3 linked regions of the Drosophila melanogaster genome follow. The main gene of each other region encodes a partner of the protein of the gene in region 2 in a complex. Each region holds a gene or a part of one and is shown on either strand. Other genes may lie near its edges.

Region 1 (7,480 bases), on a different chromosome or scaffold from region 2:
TTATTTTAGAGGCTATACGCTTTGTTCCATAAGTCTTGATCAACAGCCACAGTTTTCAAGTTACAATTGATTTTTTATGTCTTGTTTTGTGAACAATTGATTTCTAAGTGTGCTTAATTGAACGCCCACTGAAACAATTCAATATAAATGTTTGTTTATACCACTTAACGATCATTATTTCTATTTTTGTTATTACCCAAGCCAACAGTATTACTAATCCAAATTAACTGCTTCCAGGAACCCAATCCCGAGGATCCGCTCAACAAGGAGGCGGCCGACGTCCTGCAGACCAACCGCCGTCAGTTCGAGAACAATGTAAAGAAGGCGATGCGTGGTGGCTGTGTGGGCGAGACCTACTTCGAGTGCTGTCTGCTCAAGTGATATAGGGAATCGCAAGGTCTCTTACTTTAAGCCTGTCCATACACCTCCCCCTACACCCGCTAACTGAAGAAGATGAAGCAAAACACAGACGAACATCGGCGACAACAAATTATTGTAATAAACGAAAACAAAATCCACTGCGTGCAAAGAAGAAGCCGAGTCAAGTCACCAATTTCTAGTTTTTAATACAATTCATTTAGCAATTTCGCCCACCCGTCTCTTAATCATAATCGGCATACCCAATGTGGCAATCATCCAAATCCCTCACAGATGAATGCTGTGCCTGGCCATCTGCATATTTCGCCACAGGCAAAGATCAGACACAGCGGACAGTCTTCCTGCCTGGATTCGCAGATCGTATAGTCTGCTGATGAGACCCACTTTTATGTCGTCGGTGACCAAAACTTTCAGGAGCTGTTGCACCAGGCCGTTGGGCAGCAAGCGCAGGACGGGAGCGACCCTCTCACCACCGCATTCCACCAGCAGCGAAATGAACTGATAAACAAAAACGGCCTTGGGCGACAGTTCATCTCCACTGACAAACTGCAGGAACACTGCGAAAATGTGCTGCACGCTCGTCTGCAGTGGTTCTCTTAGAGTAAGCGGCGTAGTCCGCAGTTCAGATGTGGAAGTGGAGCCCAATAATGCTGCCAGGCCAGCTCCGGTCGTAGTGTCCGTAAAGTCGCTTGAGTTGTCGCTGCCATCGCCAATCACCTTGCGCACTTTGGCTGCATTGGCCGCCAGTTCCTCGTCATCGTGAGATCTCGATCGCTTCTTCATGGCCGTCAAAGCGGAAGTGCCATTTCCTTTGCGGCTCTCCAGGCAGGAAATAATACAGTAAACACAGAGGCGGGCCAGTACCAGGGATTGGGGCTCATTAATGTCCTCACTAGAAAAAAAAAAGATTGCCAAATTGTGAGTACGAGTTCTATCATAGCAGTTTCAATTTTTACATCCTTTCTTGCTAAATCGATTCGATTTGTAGATAATAAATAAATGAAATAATATACAGAAGAAAATATTGGTATTTACCCTTGTCGTCGCAGTATCAGTGGAGCCACCACGTACTGGAGCAACGCCTCAGTGGTCTTCTCAATGTCGAGATGCATTACGGCAAACACAACGTCCATGGTTCGCGACATATCCCTTGTGTACTTGCAGGCCAGCAGTTGCTCCACCAACTGCGTGGACAGCCACGCCGCGCCACCGGCTAGCAGAAGCGACTCCAACGACTGAGCGGCGCGAACGGGCAGGTGACCAGCATCGACTACTGTTCGCCACACCTCCCGAAACTGCTCGACTAGCGGGGAATGTGAAATGAGGCGGGACTTGGTACTTGGGGCAGGATGCACATCGTGTTGCATTTTTCTGATAATCTGATAGGAGAGAGCTAGTCGCTCCTTGGCATTTTCCTGGCTGGAAAGCTCTTCGCTGGTCAACGGAGCCAGGAACTGCTGAATCATGTTTAGTGGTTTCAGAAGTTCCGTTTCCTTCACCGAATACATGTAGGCGCATAGAAAACTAGTGGCGCAAACGGAAAAACTGAAAAGTCTTCTCTTAATATTGTCCAGAATACTTTTAACGTCCGCCGAGGATAGCGTTTCCTGCTCCCAAGCTATTAGCACATGATGAAGCACTCCGGGCAGATTAAGGCAAGTCTCCTGCCAACTTAAGTTGTTTGGCTTAAGTTGTGATGCCTCTGGTTTACTGAAGCTAAGCAAAAGCTCGTCGACAATACTGTCATCACAGAGGGCAAGAATTTGACGCGGATTCTTAAGCTTATTCCTTTCCACCATGCACTCACGCACCCATTTTTCAAAAAATGAGTCACCACGCTCAGATAAGACCACCTGAAGTAAAATAGAATTCATTAAAATTGCAGCGTAATAACAGGCGGGTTTACGAACATCGGATCCATAGGTCTGCACAATGCTTGTCAACATTAGGAAGGAAACATCAAACAGAGTGGACCGGATGACGCATAGCTTGCCCAGGTCGCCCGGCACCGGCTTGGAGTTCTCATTGCACTGGATCAGACGCGATACGAATGTCTTGAGGCGTCCCTCGACGGTAGCCACTGAAAGAATCAACTCGAAGCTGTTGCCCACCGGCACTTGGCAAAGGACATTAACCATGTCCTGGACCTTGTTGGTGCACAGCGTTTTTAGTACTCCGGAAAGCGGAACCTCTGCGCGCTTGATGAAGTTTATATTGGAGGGTGTCTGTTGGCCATTGTCGCATTTTTTGAGTAATTGAGAGGCGGCTTCCCTGAAAGAGTTCGTTTTAAATTATATAATTAAGATGGGTGTACAAAATGCATGATTTCTCGACTAACCTTTGACTGGCGAACTTCTTTACGTGGACATCATTGACTAGTTGTTGCTTGGTCCAGTCATTCAAAAGGAACTCGATCATATTGCATGAGCACTTAGTATCCATGAAGTCTAGCAGCAGATTGTCCTCGATGAGCAATTCCAAAGCCTCCACCAACTCGGGTATGTAATCGGCCGGTGGTGGTTGCTCCCCGGGAATCCGTTGCAGGGCGTGCAATTGCTTAATGATGTGCGGCATTTTAAAGAACATAAAGGCACCCCACATAGTGTCAGGACTTGTATCCGCAACATTGCTCAGCGTGAGGAATCCAGCACGGATGATTTCGTAGAAGAGCCGTGTATTGGAGTATTTCTTTAATCGTTGCAGCATCTGCAACTCAGCCACGTAGTAGCTGGTGTCCTTGCACGGATTGAGAAGCACTTCCACCGCCAGTAAGGGTTGCACGCAGCACGAGATCTTCTCGAGTGTTGACGGCGGATTAAGTGGTTGCATTTCAAGATGCTTGGCTTCTATAAAGGCCAACTGCTGCAATTGCTGCTCCACTTGTGGTGCATTTAGCGTAAAGTTTGAGTTCGTCAACGATCCCTTGATGGTAGCGTACTTATCCCGAATCCGTCCACATATTTCGAGCTCTTCGTGACAGCCCACGTACAGCATAGACAGCAGGAACTGCTGCTGGCTAAGCCGATCTATCACCACGCAGGTCTGGTCCAGCATGTATGATTGCTCAGCACTAATCTCACCATACAGTTCATAGTGCTGCACAGTTCTGGCGAAGATTTGAAGCAGCCAGTACACCAAGTGGACGACGGAACTCGGTAAAACCGCTTCCTCAGATTTTATTCTGGAAATAGAAATGAACAATTATTTTTACTCCTGCTTTTTAACGACTTATAAAACTAAAAGGACTTACCGGCAGGTAACGCCATCCACGATGCTGGCCAGGAATTCAAGGAGCGCTGTAATGCAATAAACGCGCTCTAATTTGTCATATTTGGCAATGCACCGAATAACAGCAGCGTGAGAAACGAGATGGGCGCACAGTGAATGCTTCAGGTAGTTAAGAACCAACTGAAAAGCATAGATTACAATTTAGAAAACAATCTAAATACTCAGATCAACTACTCACCGGATTAGCCGTGGAACCAATGAGTGCCTGCTGCATCAGACAGTCAGCCAGATTGTATACATCTCCACTGACTCCTCTCGGCAGCACCTGAAATAGTAATCAAGGGAAAGACAATAATGAAACATTTTCTTTTCCTGTCAAACTTTAACACAATATCTGGGTCACAACCCCATAAAATAAACAGAAACAGAACCACTTAAAAATCTAGTTAGGATTTCCACTTATATAGTTAGCACACATAGTTGCATATTTCGTTACGCGATAAAAAATGTTTCGTTTAAAATTATTTCGCAGTCCTGGAGACGTATTAAGCACTTTAATTAGCGGAGCTGCAACGGATTGCTGCAGGAAGACGTCACATTGTTTGGAGTTGGATCGCGCTCCCGCTGTCGCTGCCTGCTGGATCTGTATGCGGATGATCAGTCAATATCAGTTCAGGACCACGAAACCAGCCTACTATCCAGATCGCCAGCGGGAGGCGAAGCGAACGTCAGCGGGAGCCACGCCTCAACAGGTGTCATCTCCGGCTGTTAAGTACCCGCAAAGCCGAGGCATGCCCAAGGACTACTACTACAAAGTGTTAGGCGTCAACAGGCACGCCACCATCCAGCAAATCAGATCGGCTTTCTATGCGCTGGCCAAGCGCTATCATCCCGACTCGACGCACTCGGAACAAAAGCTGAAGCACTTCCAGGAGCTGTCCAACGCCTACAACATCCTAACCGACGAGACGAAGCGCTTGGAGTACGATCAGCTGGGCGGGATTAAGGATGAGCGCGCTTTTCTTGAACAGGCGGGCAATCCCCTAAATGTGGGCCTCGAGGAGGCCAAGAAGTTCGATTCGGATAAGACGACAAATGATGGTAAGCAGACGGATTTTAGATACATCAAACACCATTTCACTTTTCACTATATCACGATATGAACACGATCCTTGAATCGCCTTCTAGAGATCAACAAACTGAAGAGCAACGAGTTCGATCTGCCACTTGACTTCCTTGAGGCGACAGTGGGATGCAAGAAGCGGATAGAGCTGCGCTACTTGCGGAAATGCGAGACCTGCAAGGGCAAGTCACAATTGATGGCGCATCGGGATGTGGGCAAGGAACCCTGTCGGCGATGCAATGGAACTGGAAAGGTCATGACCAAAACGCCAACCTTCTCATCGGTGAACACATGCACGCAGTGCAAGGGCAAGCGATTCACAAATCGCAACGACTGCGAAACATGTTCGAATCGCGGCTTCGTGGTGTCCAATGTGGATGTGATGGTATCGGTGCCTTCCGGATCCCGGGACGGTGATGTGGTGAACATTATAAATCCGGAAACGAAGCAGCAGGTCACCTACCGCTTGTCGGTGCCGTCTAGCGACTATTTCCGACGCGTTGGCAATGACATTCTAACCGACAAGCACCTAAACATCTCGGAGGCCATTCTGGGCGGATCCTTTCAGATACGGGGTCTGTACGAAAGCGTGGAGCTGCGTGTGGAGCCGGGCACCCAATCCCACACCCAGGTGGTGCTCAATGGCAAGGGGGTGCGCTCCAGGGAGGGCGTGGGCAACCACATCGTCACGCTGAAGGTGCGTATACCCCGGAATCTCTCCGTAAAGCAACGCCAACTGGTTTTGGCACTGTCCCAGGCAGAGGATCCGGTTTTCGAGCCCAAGACTAAGAGCACGGAGGCGGGCAATTTGAGTCACTAAAATTCTCAATGTACCGGCCTCATTGCGTTTACAATATATTGGTAAACACGAACATTGATTGTTTGGTGTGTTGATTTGCTTGGGTTGCCTTGCCTTTTTTATGTTGATGCCCCACTGGGAGTCCGTCCAGCGCTCGCGCCACGCCACATAGATGAGTTGGAGGATCTTGTTGTTCTCCTTCATCTCTCGCGTCCGTGGAAGTAATATAACTTTTACTTTTCTCGTATTTCACGCAATTTATTTTATTTAAACCTAATATATTTTTTAGCAGCGCTCAGTGTGACCGAGGTATCTTTTATTAATCATACCAAAAGAGTACCATAATTTTCCCATCCTACAGTGTTGAAAAACACACAATCTTAAAATTTGTCGCCAATTTTAAATATTTTGAAAATTTTGTTTTTGCAACGAGGAATTTAGCCAAATAAAGGAAATAATATTAAAATATATTTTAAGACACCGAAAAGGCACCCACAAACAAATTTTAATTCAAATAATTTATTGAATACAATAAAGTAGCGTATGAGTTTCATTTGTAAACTGTTTTCATTTTAAACATTATGTTCTAAAATATTTGACTTTGTACAAAATATATTCTATTTATATATGCCGAAAATTGTTCCTCCATTGCACGCTCCGATTTTTTGAATTTCATTTCACTCATCGTGTCGCTAGCTGAATGTTAAATTTTAAATTGAATATATAATATATATATATAGGTGTGGTGTATGTGCTTAATCCGAGATATTTCGATATGATTAAACAATAGCTAGGCGAGAACTTTACATACAAATCGAGTTCGGTGGATTGTCAAGGGAAGATGCGCGAGGACTGGAAAAATAAAAAAATTAAAAACTAATTTGCAAAGGCCGTTTATTTTGTATAAAAAGCTGGCAACTCAAATATCAAAGCGAATCTGTAAATCCGTCTAAATTATTAATTAACAACTAACTTAGGAGTGTATGACAAAAGCATTTCACATTCCAATGGCAGCGCCAGGAACGGAGGCTTAAAACTAAAAAATGTTTTGGGTAGGGAGAGGCCGTACAAAGGAATATTGGCTGGTACAAAACGAGGAAGAATCATCGCTGACAACGTTAAGAGCTAAATTAAGTCTATGACCTATTTATTTACTTAAATACGCTTGACGCCACAGAGCCACCGTCGTTTATTCATCATCATTATCGCCGCCGCCAGTCGCCAAGCATCATTGTAATCACTTTAGCATCATCGTCCTTATTACTTTGAGGAGTGAGTTTCGTTTACCATCGCTGCATCTCTCATTTTTGATCATTGACCTTGTCTAAGCGGATGAGGGTCCCACGGGATCGTCACCCTTCACGGCCGACGCATAGGAGCTACTTGGTTTGTCGACACCACCGGTAACAGAAACAGCCGACTTGCCATCACCGCCACTTCCACCAGTGCCTGCTCCGGCTGCACTTGCACTGCTCGGCGGAACTCCAGCTGCTCCGCCAATGCTCACGCCACTGTTAAGGCCTAGAGTTTGAGGTGAATCAACTAGAGAATTTGTTTCGATTGTGGGTTTGGTTGGGATGTGTGTAAGTGTGAAGTGTGTGCGAGAAGCGAACAGTTAAGCACCTTTGATATCCATGGCATAGTGGTCCTCCAGCCGCAGGTCGTGCCTCTTTATTAGCTGGCACTCTGCGCCCTCGACGGTGGGAATGGAATACACGTACAAGTACCCATCCTGCGAGGCAATCAAAAGTCTACAAATACAACAGAATGAACCGTTATTTAGAACTTGAAATAGAGGCAGGGTAATCAGTTTGTAGTTCAATTTGCACGTGATTCAATTTTTGTTTTATAAACCTTTATGAAATGTACTAGGCTACTTTTGCAAAGAGCATATTAATTACATTTCAACAGAGTTCAGGGAAATTCAAACATATGAAGCCAGATAAAGTAGG
Region 2 (5,238 bases):
CAAATTGAAGATAAGTGGATTAACGATTACACATATCCAAGATTCGTAATCTGGGATTGGCGGAGTATTTACCCGGACGTTGGCGGCACTGGGAATCTGGCCGCCGTACGAGGAGGAGCTCCAGGGATACATGGACGTGGGATTTGGACCGGGGGGGCGTTGCTTCTCACCACAGGCAGCCCTCTTTTGACGTCGACAGGGTGGGCACTCAGCACTCGGTTAAGCCTGGACCTGGGGCACTCGGTTCTCTAGGAATTTCGACTTCTGGCGACTACAGGTTGCACCTCGATGCACTTACCATTACTGCAGCGTTAGGGCGAAGTGAAATAAGCCAATTATTCTGAAAATATCTATTTGCAGAGGAGATATCGATTGCCGACAGCCGACAGACACATTGGACGTCCTGATATCGATTGACATGCTAGTGATGCAAGTTCTTCGATATGTTGTTGTTGTTAATATCAAACCGTTAGCAAATACACCAACCACAATTCATAGATAGAGTTAAAAAATATATTTTATTCAAATAAATTTAGTTTTGAAATAGTGAAGTATGGTGGTGACTTCTCTGTGGCTTAAGTTTTTTGAACGAGCACGTCGTGCAAAGAAGAAATATATTTAGTATATTAAATTTCTTGATTTCACTAAAATTGCTGGCAATCATGTACTTTTATTTGAAGCTTAAATCATACTTAATAACTAAGGTCATTGCTCACATAGATTTACTAGTGAACCTGCTTCCAAAAGCCCCCACAGTGGCAGTGCAGCCACTTACTAAACCACGCCTTGAGGGCCGACGTCTTGGCCACTTTGCTGGCGTTATTCACGAACACGAATCCGCAGCGGGCGCATCTCCGAATGTGGCTGGGTCGGGCGCCCAGTTGGAGATTGCTCACGCCATCCTTCACAGAGCTGGCGAAGACCACCTCCTCCGTCTCCATGTCCTGCAAGCAAGTTGGCTCCTCCATGGAGGTGAACTGCAGCTGTCCCGACTTTACGGCCGCGAATCCTTGGGCACTCAGCAGCGTGGTGGGGTTGAACTTGGTGGGCTGGGGAATTAGGAGCTGCTTGGAAAGCAGGCTGCACTCGTCCAGCAGCATTTCGTCCGGTTCTGCAGGATTCTGGGCCAGGCGAGTAAGCAAACGAAACAAGATCACTAGCACATCGATGTTGTCCATCGTCTTGGTGTAGACGGGCAGGCACTGGGTGTTTAACAGGCCCCAAATGCGGATCATAACCAGCAGCTCGCGCAGACTGCTGATGGCCACGATGTCTCGGCTGATATCGTAGCTAGGCCGCTTTCCGGAGAGCTTGGTCTTCATTACCTCCTCGGGCAGACGATGCAGCATGTTGAGTGCCAGGTCGGTGACCCACTGAATCAGTTGCTGTAGACTTTGCAGCATCACCGGCTCCACTGTAAAGTCCTTGGCGTCCAGGTTCAGCATCACGGTGTCCACATCCGGAATGGATTCGGCCAGCTTGATGGCCAAGTTATCGGCAGGTCCTTTATCCTGGAAACCCAGATCAGACGGTCGCAGGAGGCTCTTGAATGTGGTGGATATTGCGTGTAGGATAATGAGATTGTCAAACTCCTGCTGCTGCATGCGGCATATGTTGGACTTGAGGGCCAAAAAATTAGCATAATAAAAGTGCCGCACAAAGGAAGGTTGCCGCGTAAAGTTGTCGGTTAGCTTCTCCACCAGAGCCTCCAGGTTGCCTAGATTAAGGAGTAGCACATCGCTGGCATCGCAACCTGTAACGATGCAATATTCCAGAAGTAGCAAACCAGATCCTCCTTGCTTCGGCAGAGGTGCCTGCATGGCGTAAAGTTGTGCATGGCTATCAAAGATTAGGAGAATTTGGCTGCTAGGTGTCAAGTCGCCGCTAACGAACTTTACTGCTCCACTGGCGTCAGATAACCTATCAAACTGGGTGTGATTAAGCTGCTTCATCGAGTTGGGCTCCAGCACCTGGACGCTGTTGTCCTGCAGAATGGCGTACACTTGGCAAGAGTCCGGCGTTGATACCGATAGTCGTGTAACGCTGATATCCGCCAAGGATGCATTTAGTTGCACTTTGCCCACCTGCTCCCAGCTTTCCGATTGCACGAACTCATTTGGCTTGTTGTTGGCACCTCCTCCACCCTGGAGAAGGGCGTGGACACTTTGGTGACGGCGTGTCAATGTCCATTGCTCCAGTTGGCTGCCAGCACCATCTGGACAAGCGTAGGCTATAAAAATCACATCCTCGTTGGCTATTCGCGTCCATTTTAGGTGACTGATCCGCCTCCCGTCAAGAGGACCCAGAAATATGCTGGTCTGGGACTCGGATTTGATGGCCAAGTGCTGCTCCAGACCCAGTTCGCCCTCCAATGAAAGCGAGACCTTAAAGCATTGCACCAACTGTTGCTGCCAGCCACAGCTGAAAGCGATATTAAGGGCTCCCGATGGACTTGGCGTCATGCTGCAGTGTTCGATGAAGCTGCGCGATATGCCGATGCTGTGGAGCGCGGGTGTCAACTCGACGACCTCGTGGGCAGGACCATCAGCTCCTGCGGCGGATGTCTTTTGGATTGCGGGGAGACTGAAGGCGGCCAGCAGGCCTGAGGAAGTGAGTAGCACGCATCCCTCGCTGGCCACTCCGCCAAATCCGCTGAGAGTGGGCCTCTGCTGCTCCACCCGCTCGAACTTCTCCGCATAGTAGGTGTGATCCTTCTTCAGCGCATTGAAGATCACTCCTTTGCCATTCTGAAAGAACTGTGCTTCTATAATGTCCTCGCTGGGCACGGTGGCGTAATACTGCAGCACCCATAGGTTAATTGACTGGTTCCTCGGCTGCCAGATCTCGACGCGACCGCCGACGTATCCAAGCAGCAGTTGCTCCCCATTGGGACTCCACTGGAGGACGCTGATAAGCGATTTGGAGGAGCACACCTTATAGTATTCCCACGGCGTCACGATGTCGCACACGTACACATGGCTGTTGCTCGCGCCTACGGCCAAACCCGCTCCCGGCAAGGATCCATCGCCGGCATCTCCTCCGTGGGAAGCCGGAAATATGGCGCTCTGGAGGGCGCTAAACGCAACGATGTTCCGTGCGGAGACTGAGCAGAGGACCTTCTTGTGCGGAAAAACGCTGTCCTTGCTGAACTCCTTGCCCTCCACTTTGTACAAAATCGTCATTTTTGCAGCGTAAACAAAAACCAAAGCGGACTATTATTGTTTTGCACCCGGCGTCTGCCAACACTACTCTGTGAAGAACTTTACAGCACTGTTTCGCGGGTGTTTAGCGCTTTTCCACTGCATTTTTGATTCCATTGTTACTGTAAAATGTTTGGTTTTTATGTTTAGATTTAAGATAGTGCTCATTAATATTTTAATTCTGAACAGCAAATAAAGCTTTTACAGCGCAGCAGCTTTAAATCATTAATCATTTAAACAAAAATTAAGTTATTAAATAATAGCCAGTTTCTCACTGTTAATTATTTTACGGTCGCCCCAATTTAAGCAAGAATTATTATGACCAGTTGGCCACACTGTCCCTCGTTCAATTTCGCTTTGTTTACATCTGGTGATTATATTATAGTTTATTGTTTTACCGATTTTTTTTTTTTAGTGGCCGCAACAACAGGTGAGATAAGTTTCCGTATTCGCAGCCAGGACGCCGTTCCCCGATCGAGTTCGATTCGTTCGCCAAACAAAAACGGCTGCAAACCGGCTTTTTATATTTATCAGCAGACGTCTTGTGTTTGAAGCGATATTACTCACAGTTTATTGAACTCTGAGGCAGCGTACATTAACTTAGGGCAATAAATACATACACGTCTTACGGACTAACTAATTATGATATCGCGGCTGAAGTGGCTACACCAGGTTGGCATAGCGCAGTCCCTTGACGAGACTTCCGCTGAAGCTGTCCTCGTCAGTGAACCGAATTCCGTCCGCCTGGCAGGACTGCAGGCTGCACGGATACTCGGCGCCGTAAGCACTGCTGTCCCAGCGGATCTGCAGCTCATAGGTCAGCTCCGGATTCAGCACACAGGCCTCTTCGCGTCGCCAGCCAAGATGCAGGTTGCAGTTGTACTTGGTATTCTGGCTCTGGACAACGTGACTCCATACGGGCGACGTGGCCGGACCCTCGCTTTCAGCGGGCACCTCGCAAAGGTCCAGCCGCAGCGATTCGCGGTACTCCAGCTGCTGGACGTGACCCAATAGGTTGGGAGTCAGCCTGCTGTTCAGGACCAAGCCCATCAAGGAGATAAATCTAGAGCACTTTAGACGCAAGCGAAACAGCGGAGTTTCTGCATCCACTGTAAAGGGCCTGCAGGCCTTGTAATAGCAGCGCTCCACCAAAACCACCGGAGTTAGGGCAGGTGATTCCAAATCACTAGCACCCGAAGCCGCAGGCCAGTCGCTTGTTTTGCCACCCAAGTCGTGCACTACTAAGTCGGCATCGCTGGGACCCAGACCCAACTGCTCGCACTCCTGTCGTGTCCACTCATAAACATACCAGATGAGTAACTTGTGCGGTTCCTTGCACGCCGCTATTATGGCCTTCACACACTCCTTGGACACGTGCACATAGTGCTCCTTAAGGTGGCTCATATACTGTCCATTATTAACACAGCATCGCATGAAAAAGGTCATGCAGACCTCCAGCAACCCGTCGAGGCCCATGCAAACACTTAGCTCTAGAGCGGGCAAGATATTGGCAAATCGCAGCTTGCGGGTGATAACCATCAGCGTGTCGGCGATCAGCTCCTCCAGCAGATACTTCTCAGCGGCGTAGTACAGCTCAATGCAGGCCACCAGCTCCAGGCCATTGTAGTCAACGACGCCCGTGTAGATGTACTCCACCAGCACCTTGAAGATGGCAGAGCTTATGTCGTGGATTTCGATTTCCGGCTCGGGCTCGTTGTTTTGCATGGGACCAAAGAACATTGCCTCGAAAACGGGACTGGCGGAGCTCAGGATGAGCTTGTGGCATTTCACTTGCTCCTCGCACACGTGGAACACGCAATCTGTGTACTTGGCTCCACGGAGCAGCTGCCCGTATCGCCTACCCAGACCGCTGCTCACACTGCCCGGCTCTTTGCGATCCACCGCCGAGATGCTCATCTGCGAAAGGGGCAGAGAAAGGTGGTAGATATTAATGAGCCATTCGAAAACCTGTTTCCAATTTGCCCGTGTCATAGGCGGCCATCAATCATTCGAAGTATAATAGAAACTATTCAGGCGC
Region 3 (3,550 bases), on a different chromosome or scaffold from region 2:
TCTTGGACGATCGAGTGGGTGTTTCTGCGCCGAAAACCGGTTTGCAACTGTAATGGAAAGCAAAAATGTAATGAGTTTTGTAGGCAGTCAGGTACGCCAGGACGACCCCCGGACAGGTAGTGCCAGCTGACACCCATAAACGCTAAGCTCAGACAGTTCTTTAAAATATACCAATAAATCTGCAGCTGTTCCTATGTGGAAAAGCCAACCGTTGGCTTTACCCCTTATGCACCCCCGTAAATAAAGCCGTGGTCATAGTTACAACACTAAACATTTTAATATTACCTATGAATTTTCCCACTTAAGAACATTGATTCATTTCACATGTATATAGGAAGATGTTTAGGAGTAAAGATCACTTTAGTCAAGAGTCGCGACTATGAGATACCCAGCACTCAGCGAAGACATTTATTTGATACGTTTCTAATAATCCTATTTTAACTATTATGACAATTGTATGGAACTACAGTGTTATATGCCAATTTGGGCGTTGTAGATCGTGGTCAGATCGACCAGGCCATTGGTCCGGATCGAAGAAACATTTACATTATAGGGTCGGAATCACTTTTTATACCAGTTACACACTGTACACTTTTCACTCTATAATACTGTTTTAGGTAATGGTCTATTTATCTCGAATTTAGATGTACGAATTAGTGTGGCAAACCAATCGATCAATTAAAATTGCGACTGTGGCTTGCCTAAGCGGACACAAAAGAGACTTACATTCGTAATTACATTGAAATGATTCAGAAGCCTATCAAGAAACAATCTTTGGTTCTATTTGGACGGCAGCTGTGCTGTGCTGTATAGATACATATGCACATATGTACATATGTGTACATCTGTATGCATCTGTATATGTATATACATTTCGGAGTTGTATTCAAGCAGAGCACACTGTAATCTAATAATAGATTCTTCGCCAACATGAATTTTTTGTGGATGATGATTAACCCGTCGAAATCGGGGAAATAGTTGGATATACATATATAATGTTTCATATGCACTTAAATTACATAATTTTGTTAATACTTACATTTCTGAATTGTGCGTCGCTGCTTCGCTTGTTCCTCAGCACAAAAATAGGTGCGGGGGCGTTCTGTCCACAGATAGAAATTAGTTTCACTCGTTGATTTCTCGTTTATTTAGCCTAAACTACGACTTTTTCAGTGGCTTGGTTCCGATTAGATATGTTTTACAGACGAAATTCAAGTTTTTCCTCGCTGCTTTTCAGGCTGACAAAAAAATCAGGCATTGTTCTCCACAGCGTTCGTCGTAGGCTTGTGAAAATACCGAATTAAATGCGCATCACATTAGGGGTAGTGAAATAAATACTGAAGGCTACACACAATTGTTAATTACATATTATAATTAAAAATTGTCAATGTTCTGGTCGGAATTTTATATTTTAATATAAATTTTAATTGTTTTATTATGATTATTTGTAGATACCATTGATCGCTGTACTTCTTGATACATACGCTCAGATTTGTTTAAACTTACTCTGGTATTAAAGATTTTTGTTGGTTAAAACAACCCTAATTCTAATTTTTAACACAGAAACATTTTCAAGAATACCGTTAGCACACACCAAGTAAAATATACGGAAAAGCAGTATTTTACGAAAAAAAAATCGTATTCGGATGAGCTTGCAGCCCTGGCGGGGACAGAAGTAGGGTTGTCGCCGGCCATCAACAATCCAAATGAACTCCTACGGTTTGTAGACAATATTAAAAACTGAATTTAACTGCCTTCCCACAAGAAATCACCAACACAAAGGGAGCGACAACCCACCGCCTGCGCCCAGAAACCTGGTCGACTGTTTTCCCGAGTTTTCTTTTGGCCCACAACCTGCGTTTGCTCTGTGCAGTCACTGCCGCGCCATACATTTTATTTCATTAGCGAAGCCCATATATATTTATAATTTTACTTGTGTGTTTTGTTTGCCGCGACGTTTCGTTTTCAATTCGATGGTGCACCAAAACACACAGCTCAGAACATCCACATAGCACACTGAAAGAAACCAAGAACCCAACCCGACACCGAAACTGAATAGACGCAAGTACCGACCCAACGAGACCCTTTCCAAAGCCAAAGACCAGTCCAAAATGGCCAAAATGTACGGAAAGGGTAAGAGTAAGTACACGCCAATCCACACCCATTTTCGCATTGTAATCTAACACCTACTGACACCGCTTGGCATGCCGAATCCTCAGAGATCTACCAAAAGTGGTGCTAATTTCTCAGGGACTAATGCTCTCCAATTTCTTCCGTAGCTGCTATCGAGTCGGAGGAGCTGCAGAAGCGACGCTGGCAGATCGAGCTGGAGTTCGTGCAGTGCCTGTCGAACCCCAACTATCTAAACTGTAAGAATAATATTACCTCGACCTACCTAATATTCACTTATTCACCATCTTGCGCGTATATCTAAATAAACAATTACAACGCCTTGTGCCAGTCCTTGCACAGCGTGGATTTTTCAAGGACCAGTCGTTCATCAACTACCTGAAGTATCTGCAGTACTGGAAGGAGCCGGACTATGCGAAATACCTCATGTACCCAATGTGCCTCTACTTCCTCGATCTGCTGCAGTACGAACACTTCCGCCGGGAGATCGTCAACTCGCAGTGCTGCAAGTTCATAGACGACCAGGCCATTCTGCAGTGGCAGCACTACACTCGCAAGCGCATCAAACTGATCGAAAACGTTACGGCCGCCCAGCAGCAACAACAGCAGCTTCAGCAGCAACAACAGCAGGCGAACGGCATGGAGGCAGCAACGGGAGGCGAATCAGCAGCACCTACCCCCAACGTGAACGGGTCAGCTTCCACGGCGGATAGTCAACAGACGTCTTCTGCCCTACAGCCTGTCCAAGCACAGCCTGGAAATCCCCAGCAGCAGCAGCAAATCAATGGCGTGGCATCGGGGGCCAACATAAAACTAGAGTTAAACTAGCGCTGGCAACTAAAAGTTTACCAATAAAATAGTATAAGAACCTGGAACAAGTTATTTTGCATTCCATTTATTATCTTCCTTTTTGGCTGAGAAACAGCTACCACTTAACACACCTTATTTTCTTAGCTATTTTAGCCAAACTAAAATTCTAAAATAATTTTATTTCTTTTTTTATTTTAGAAAATCTTGAAAACCTCATCTCATTGCTTTAGTTAGGGTGTCGCCTCCTTTGTCGTTGGTTTTTGGTTGCAGACACAAAGCAAGTTTCATTAATCTATCTGTTGGTGAATTCACAGACCCACAGGACACAGCTTCTCAACAGGAGGAATCCGTCGCGCTGAAGGGCCACTTCTACGGCGTCTATTTGCTATGCAGTCAGAGCTTGGATCCTCGCTACCGGGGAAAATGCTACGTGGGCTTCACCGTGAACCCCAAACGGCGGATACGCCAACACAATCTTGGTTGTGATTTCGGTGGCGCGAGGAAAACCAGTCGCAAAGGGCCGTGGCTGATGGTAATGATCGTGCACGGATTCCCGAATAATACAGTGGCACTCCAGTTTGAATGGGCTTGGCAACAGCCGTCGCTTTCA

The links. The genes of interacting proteins can lie anywhere in the genome.
Region 1: MED16 (region 2) and MED24 share a complex: the UniProt entries of both Drosophila melanogaster proteins name them as parts of the mediator complex.
Region 3: MED16 (region 2) and MED31 share a complex: the UniProt entries of both Drosophila melanogaster proteins name them as parts of the mediator complex.

Annotation. Positions count from the first base shown.
Region 1 is NT_037436.4:8,189,641-8,197,120, reverse strand, and holds MED24 (mediator complex subunit 24), read right to left. Parts: upstream 5,852-7,480; 5' UTR 5,733-5,851; coding exon 5,643-5,732; intron 5,600-5,642; exon of another isoform or gene 5,550-5,599; coding exon of another isoform or gene 4,795-5,549; intron 4,708-4,794; coding exon of another isoform or gene 4,113-4,707; exon of another isoform or gene 4,005-4,112; intron 3,932-4,004; coding exon 3,845-3,931; intron 3,787-3,844; coding exon 3,629-3,786; intron 3,560-3,628; coding exon 2,717-3,559; intron 2,650-2,716; coding exon 2,289-2,649; intron 2,232-2,288; coding exon 1,414-2,231; intron 1,275-1,413; exon of another isoform or gene 1,271-1,274; coding exon 646-1,270; 3' UTR 548-645; downstream 1-547. Other genes in the region: NEDD8-conjugating enzyme UbcE2M, read left to right, coding at 238-381; CG7387 (uncharacterized protein), read left to right, coding at 4,113-4,707, 4,795-5,549; Atg18a (Autophagy-related 18a), read right to left, coding at 6,853-7,070, 7,152-7,279. UniProt on the Drosophila melanogaster protein: Component of the Mediator complex, a coactivator involved in the regulated transcription of nearly all RNA polymerase II-dependent genes.
Region 2 is NT_033778.4:22,181,155-22,186,392, reverse strand, and holds MED16 (mediator complex subunit 16), read right to left. Parts: upstream 3,256-5,238; 5' UTR 3,183-3,255; coding exon 726-3,182; 3' UTR 501-725; downstream 1-500. Other genes in the region: Vps35 (vacuolar protein sorting 35), read right to left, coding at 73-132; CG11275 (uncharacterized protein), read right to left, coding at 3,864-5,117. UniProt on the Drosophila melanogaster protein: Component of the Mediator complex, a coactivator involved in the regulated transcription of nearly all RNA polymerase II-dependent genes.
Region 3 is NT_033777.3:4,640,290-4,643,839, forward strand, and holds MED31 (mediator complex subunit 31), read left to right. Parts: upstream 1-1,673; 5' UTR 1,674-1,706; coding exon of another isoform or gene 1,707-1,719; exon of another isoform or gene 1,720-1,994; 5' UTR 1,995-2,111; coding exon 2,112-2,139; intron 2,140-2,279; coding exon 2,280-2,369; intron 2,370-2,461; coding exon 2,462-2,958; 3' UTR 2,959-3,003; downstream 3,004-3,550. Other genes in the region: nuclease slx1, read left to right, coding at 1,707-1,719, 3,255-3,550. UniProt on the Drosophila melanogaster protein: Component of the Mediator complex, a coactivator involved in the regulated transcription of nearly all RNA polymerase II-dependent genes.